Linked DNA regions of Saccharomyces cerevisiae S288C. The protein of the gene in region 1 interacts with the protein of each later gene in a pairwise test. Each region holds a gene or a part of one and is shown on either strand. Other genes may lie near its edges.

Region 1 (3,600 bases):
TAATAATAGTAAGGAAATTCTCACTTTATCACCCAAATCTATGGTGACTACGGGGCCTACAGAATTGTCGTTTTCCTCTTTATCAACCGTGGGAGGACATCCGACAACGCCAGTCTCAAAAGAAAATGATCGAGTTTCAATAGATGGCGTGAGTACATTTAATCGAGCATCAACATCTCTTCCAGAATCATCAACAGACGACATCTCTCCACTACGCGAAGAAGGTAAGATTAATGTTCCTAAAAGAACGTCAAGTAGAAAGATACTGTCTAAAAATTCAAGCAAAAAAAATGTACTGCCTGAACAGCAAACAAAGCCAAGTGAAATATATCTGGATAAAGAAGCCTTACAAAGTTTTGTTCCCGTACTCTCTGTCACAGAGGGTACTCATCGCATCAATCGCTCGTCGTTACAAACGCAATCTACCATCGGATTATGCATTACCAATTTAAGAAACAAAGAAGGCATGAAGCTCAATGCCAAGGAATACGTGGAAATCCTGGCTCAGCAGCAACGCAAGGAAGATGAAAGGTATGCTGTTTTGGAAAGAAAATTTGCATCTTGTAGATGGTGCAGTGATAAGGACCTGCAGTATTTGAAAAAGAAACGAATTTCCATGAATAAGATATGGTCTGATTATGTCCGATTTTACCGTGGAAAGTTGAACAACCCATGAAGGAAAAAGGTCTTGGCTATATATAACGGCAGACAAAATATAAGTATACACGTATATATGGTGGTAAACACGCATATACTGTATGCCATGTATTTACCATTACATAGTTATTTACGCACTCTATAAAAAGTTAACATTGCATTTTAATAAATTCCTTAAATTACTCTAATTAGGATGGTAGCCCTACCTTTTTTTTTTTTGGCACACATGGTCAACTTTTCTTCTCATGCTTTAAAAGGCGAGAAAAAATGAAAATTAGCAAAATGACCTTTCCCTCCTTCCCACATTGAATATATACACTGGAAGATATAAGCAACCAGTACTGTAGATAAAAAAGATCACTACGATATTCGTCGGACTCCAGTCGGAGTGCAGTGCCCGATTACTCTTAATTGCACGCATCGTGCCAAGTTTAATTGGTATTGCTCGAACATCTAGGAATAAGAGAAGGACTTACTTTAGAATGATGAAAGAGGTAGCAATTTGCAGCAGATTTTTCGTGATTGAATCAAACAAAGATTAACCTTTACAGAACCGCTACACTGATACTAATGTAAGAAACATTTCCTTTATTTTTTTTCTAGCCCGTAGTGTACTCTTATAGTTTTGATATTTCCTTTCTATCTTTGTAAATGTAAATAATCACATTTGTCTGACAACACACTTGTTGCCACTAATTATTTCAACAAGCTGGCATAGCTGATCTTATTAATCTTGTAGACCGTTCAGGATGACTGGGCTATATTATGGCGTTAACTTTCGCGTTGGATTACCTTTTTATGCGATGACAAGATGCCGATAATAGGTATTTACTTTCACAAGTACGTGTACGCAATTCTAAAGGAAGTATATCAAATAAAAGGGCGTGGTACATAAAAGCTATATCCCTAGCATGACCAGTCTAATAGATTTGGGCAGATATGTTGAAAGAACGCATCATGGAGAAGATACAGAGCCAAGATCGAAAAGGGTAAAAATCGCAAAACCTGACTTGTCTTCCTTCCAACCAGGCAGCATTATTAAGATCCGTTTACAGGATTTTGTTACTTACACTTTAACCGAATTCAATCTTTCACCGTCTTTAAATATGATCATTGGGCCAAACGGATCTGGAAAATCTACTTTCGTATGCGCAGTGTGTTTAGGATTGGCTGGTAAACCCGAGTATATTGGTAGGAGTAAAAAAGTGGAAGATTTCATCAAAAATGGTCAAGATGTTTCAAAAATTGAAATCACCTTGAAAAATTCACCAAATGTTACTGATATTGAATACATAGACGCACGTGATGAAACAATAAAGATTACCAGGATTATTACGAGATCCAAGAGGAGATCGGATTATCTAATAAATGACTACCAGGTATCTGAGAGTGTAGTTAAAACTTTAGTTGCTCAGCTGAACATTCAGTTGGATAATCTTTGTCAATTTTTATCTCAAGAGCGTGTTGAGGAGTTTGCTCGCTTGAAGTCAGTTAAATTATTAGTAGAGACTATAAGGTCAATCGATGCAAGCTTATTGGATGTGTTGGATGAACTAAGGGAATTACAAGGAAATGAGCAAAGCTTGCAAAAAGATCTCGATTTTAAAAAAGCTAAAATTGTTCATTTGAGACAAGAAAGTGATAAACTACGTAAATCAGTTGAATCTTTACGAGATTTTCAAAATAAGAAGGGTGAAATCGAGTTACACTCCCAACTATTACCTTATGTGAAAGTAAAGGACCATAAAGAAAAGCTAAACATATATAAAGAAGAATACGAACGAGCGAAAGCGAACTTAAGGGCTATACTGAAGGATAAAAAACCATTTGCAAATACTAAGAAGACTTTGGAAAATCAGGTGGAAGAGTTAACAGAGAAGTGTTCCCTAAAAACTGATGAGTTCCTGAAAGCAAAAGAAAAGATCAACGAAATCTTCGAAAAATTAAATACTATTAGGGATGAGGTCATCAAAAAGAAAAACCAGAACGAATATTATAGAGGAAGAACCAAAAAACTACAGGCCACCATTATTAGTACAAAGGAAGATTTTCTAAGGAGTCAGGAAATATTAGCACAAACACATCTTCCTGAGAAAAGCGTATTTGAAGATATAGACATTAAAAGAAAGGAAATTATTAATAAAGAAGGCGAAATTAGGGATCTTATTTCCGAAATTGATGCGAAGGCGAACGCTATTAATCATGAGATGAGAAGCATACAGAGACAAGCTGAAAGCAAGACCAAATCCCTTACAACAACTGATAAAATCGGTATCTTAAATCAGGACCAGGATTTAAAGGAGGTCCGTGATGCTGTGTTGATGGTTAGAGAGCATCCAGAAATGAAAGATAAAATTCTAGAACCGCCAATAATGACCGTGTCTGCCATTAACGCTCAATTTGCTGCATATTTAGCACAATGTGTGGATTATAATACGAGTAAAGCCTTGACTGTTGTTGATTCTGATTCTTACAAGCTATTTGCAAATCCAATTCTTGACAAATTCAAGGTTAATTTGAGAGAACTCTCCAGTGCAGACACCACCCCTCCTGTACCAGCGGAAACGGTGAGGGACCTGGGATTTGAGGGTTATCTATCCGATTTTATTACCGGTGATAAGAGGGTTATGAAAATGCTTTGTCAAACTAGCAAAATTCATACTATACCGGTATCAAGAAGGGAATTGACGCCTGCTCAGATAAAGAAGTTGATTACACCAAGACCGAATGGGAAAATTCTTTTTAAAAGGATTATTCATGGGAATAGGTTAGTCGATATCAAGCAATCAGCATATGGTAGTAAGCAGGTCTTTCCTACTGACGTTAGTATTAAACAAACTAATTTTTATCAGGGATCAATCATGTCAAATGAGCAGAAAATTAGAATTGAAAATGAAATTATCAACTTAAAGAATGAATACAACGATCGAAAATCTACGTTAG
Region 2 (4,147 bases), on another chromosome or scaffold:
ATTGTTAGTGTTACTTTTGTTTGAACCAGCCGCTGCGCTGGACAAGGATGACCACTGAACAAGAAATTCATTCTTTATCCTTCGGCTTGACTCATTTTCATTTTCGTTATTCCTACTACCCATGATAGAGTCAATTTCATCAACAAATATTATAGAAGGTGACAATTTTTTGGCAATTGCAAATAGTGCCCTCACTAATTTTTCACTTTCACCCAAGTATTTAGATGTCAAACTGGAAGCACTAATAGAGAAAAAGGTGGAGTGCGACTCTGTAGCTACAGCTCTCGCTAGCATTGTTTTACCTGTACCTGGTGGTCCAAATAAGAGCATCCCCCTGACTGGTTCACGTAACCCCCTGAATAAGTCTGGTCTCAAAAACGGATAGACAACTGCTTCCTTCAAAGAATATTTTGCACTTTCTAAACCAGCAATATCATCCCAATGAACTTCATCTCCGTGCACTACGATTTCGGCAAAAATTTGCTTTGCAGCTTGCCTATCTACACCTTGTAAACTATCAATAATTTCATCTTCTAAAATCTCCCTCAGGACTTTCTTGTCTATTTCAGGCTCTTCTCTTTGCTCATTTAGGGAAGTGGCATGTTCAGTGGCATCTTCTGTTCCAACATCTTCTATTTTTGGAGAACCGATTTTTTTTTGTGCTGGTATTTTTCGATTCGTTTTACTCATAGACGTGGTTTGATTTTTCGATGGCTTCTTATTCTGGGATGCACCATGCGAGTATGGTTTTGAGTTACTTACAGGTCTGGAAGGATGGCTACTCGTTTTCTTCGAACTGGAATTTGGGACTTTCGCCGTTTTGGATTTCAAAATGGGGTGACTCTTCTTCGTAGTGTTTAATGCGGGGTTACTCGCAACCTTTTTGCTGTTCAGAACTCTCTTAGCAGCCATTGCAGCCGTTTTGGGTTTTTGAATTACTGAATTTGGAACAGTCAGAGAAGAGGTCGGAGACGATGCATTGGATTTGATGATTGGTTTTGTATTACTTTTTGATCTTGTAATAAATGTTGGCGTTGATTTAGTGATAAGAGTGGGCGTTGATTTGGTACCCTTTAAGTATGGTACGTGATTATTCTTCATTAATTTTGATATTTGAGGATTCCTAATCTTTGATGAATCCATAGTAGTAGAAGTTTCTAAACTATGTGGCTTTAGAGCGCCAGTGCTGGACGCTCTATCGACATTTAATAAAGGAGGTGGAGGTAATGAAGGAAGAGCAGGGGCGGTAGTCGGCAGGGACTGTATGCATGATCCGGGAACATTTTCTGAAGAACTTACACTCTTATTACTGGACGTAGAAGAAGTAACAGACAAGTCAGACATTTGCTGTTGAATTGCTTCTAACGTTTTTATACGTCGTCTTTCCTCTTTTTCTTCTTCTTCTTCTTCTACGTCGACTTCGGAGAAATTATCATAGTAATCGGACACATCAAACTCGAAACCATCACTTTCTTCTTCATCAAAAACGTTGTGTCCTTTTAAAATGCCGACATCGTGATCATCCTCGTCATTAGTCAAATCTATCAATATTGGCTCTGAGATATATTTATCTGAGTACAGTTCAGTTTCCTTCTTAAGTGGAGGATCATTGTGCTCAATAGGGTTCTTGTGCTGTCTGCTTGCATTGTTGGATAAAGGCTTAGAAGGTACAAAATTTACTCTAATGTTCTCCGCATCTTCTCCGCGTTTTATCGATGTGCTGTTACCATATGATGATAGTGAGGGGTTGGAGTATGCGGTTTTATAGCCGCATGCATTTCTATTTCTTAATGTTTTCATCATTCTTCCGGGAACCATTTGGAATACAGGAGGTGGTTCAGTAGACCTTGTGAAAGATGAGCTATGATTAGTGTATGTTTTGGATGACGGCATATCATTCCTGGGAGCAGGCTCTTCTCGGACCAATTTTTTGACTCTTTTCAAATGCATAACGCTCTTGTGGTACAATTCTCGAATACCGTTCTGTAAACTAACTTCATCTTTCGTGTATGATTGAGTATTTGGGTAGTTATGCTCTATCAATGTCTGTTTGAATAGTACATCAGTGGTAAGCGCTTTCCATCCTTGCAATGCTTCTTTATATCGTTTTTTCTCTTCTAGGTTCAAGTAATATATTGTCTCATTGGCAATTCTACTGTAAAGTTCTGTAAAGTCGGTTAACGGTTGTTGAGGTCTTCTCCGTATCTTGGTTAATCTCGTTAAAATATGATGGCTTCTTTGTGAATCCATAGTGTCACAGTGCGATATAATCAATCCTGGTAAAACCGCACGAGTGAAAGGGAAAGAAAAATTGCGTTTGTTAGCTGCAATAAATGTAAAAAGACTATATTAAAAAAAGAACTGCAGCCTTTATTATTACCAATATATTTGATAAGAAAGTATATCGGACGCGTATTGTAGTTCTTGGGGAGCCGGTTGCTGTTGCTTCAGCCTCTTATGACCGTGAATCAAGAATTTTTATTATTCTTGATTTCAATTTTCTCCGCGAATCTCGGCTAAGATGCTTGGGTTGCCAGTGTTAATTCCATATATATACTGAATAATAGAAAATAAGTTAAAACATAAGTGCTGAAGACTTGAAAGGTTGGTGTGAGAAAACCCGTATGCCTGTGATATGTCTAGAATACATAGGGTTTTTTTTCTTCGCTTTGTAATTGATTGCGCTATATATGAAAAATATACATGAGGCGTTATTAACTTGCTGAGCTTATCTGGCCACAGTATGTTTTTTGTGTTCCTTCTCCTGCTCACCTAGGATTAGCTCTTCAAAAACTCTAGCTTCTTCAGCTTCTTCTGGTGACCTTCTAGCACTGGCAAACTTGTGGGCAATAAACAGCATTGCTTTTGCCTTTGCAATACGTTCCTTGGAAGGGACCTTTTTATCGTTTAGAATCTTATTGCAAACGTCTTTTAGTTTTCTTTCCAGTTCAAATTTCGACATAGCCCACATGACACCAAGTGCCTTACCAGCCATTGTGGACTCAAATTTGGCACGTTCATATTGGTCTAGTTCGTCAGTATTGACTTCACTCATTTTTTCCATGGCTTTTTGAGCTTCTAAGCCTGTAGACAATAAATTGTATGCTGATTTAACAGATCTAGCATTGTCGCGTGTACCAGTGAATATTTTAGAAATTCCGTAAGTCTTCTTGGACATGATAAAATTATTCGCTTTTGTCTTGTAAACCCTGGCCAATAAATACAATAACTCTAGACCAAAACTTTCTAATTTCAAATCCTCGATTTCTTGATCTAGTTTTCGCGTAAATTCCTCCAAGTTATTGGACTTCACAGCAATTAAGTACCTAGAGATTTTTTCGTTCAGTTTTTCTGCCAACTCGTCGACTTGTTTCATCATATCTTCCCGTCTTTTTTTCTCCATTTCCATTAGCTTCTCTCTTTGCTCCTTCGATAATTTATCTTTTTTCAAAGATTCAGCTTTATTAGTGTCATGCTTAACCATTCCACCATCAGTGCTCTCATCTGCTTTTTCGGTTTCAGTGGCTGCTGTACCCTCCTCATCTTCCTTTCCAAACATTTCTGTTGCCTCGTTTAGCTCTTTGAACAAAGAAAATTCTCCAATCCAATCTTTGAAGCCATCACCACCGAATATTGCTGTAAAGTATTCAGAAGCATCTTCAAATCCTTGCTGAGGAACAGCATCCTCCTTACCAAACTGGTCATACTTGGAACGAAGCCCTGGATCACTTAAGACTTGGTAGGCCTCGCCTACGGCTTGAAACTTTGCTTGAGCATCTGGGTCATCAGGATGCTTGTCCGGATGTGTTTCCATAGCCTTTCTACGATAGGCCTTTTTGATTTCAGTGGGCGTGGCCTCAGGCTTGATGCCCAAAATATCATAATACTCCGTCTCCTTTACCATATTCCCTCTTTTCTTTTCCTTTGAGTTAATACGTCTTAATTACGTGAAGCCGACAATTATCTAAGTTGCTCTTTTTACAGGCGTAAACCATTGGAAAGCAATGGTTACGGCTAACCGCGGATCCGACTATATCACCACTTTAACACTTTATCGTCCCTGTTTGTCCTTGGCAGTGTACATTCGCCATCAAATTTTCCGTTCTCCGCCCCATCTTGGTATGACGGGCGAAAACACCGCAGTGAC

What was found.
Region 2: the proteins of SMC5 (region 1) and SAP1 interact in a two-hybrid assay, tested with the Saccharomyces cerevisiae proteins (2 studies listed by BioGRID).

Annotation. Positions count from the first base shown.
Region 1 is NC_001147.6:258,355-261,954, forward strand, and holds the start of SMC5 (DNA repair ATPase SMC5), read left to right. Parts: upstream 1-1,568; coding exon 1,569-3,600. Other genes in the region: YOL036W (uncharacterized protein), read left to right, coding at 1-676.
Region 2 is NC_001137.3:244,254-248,400, forward strand, and holds the start of SAP1 (putative AAA family ATPase SAP1), read right to left. Parts: upstream 2,251-4,147; coding exon 1-2,250. Other genes in the region: CAJ1 (Caj1p), read right to left, coding at 2,729-3,904.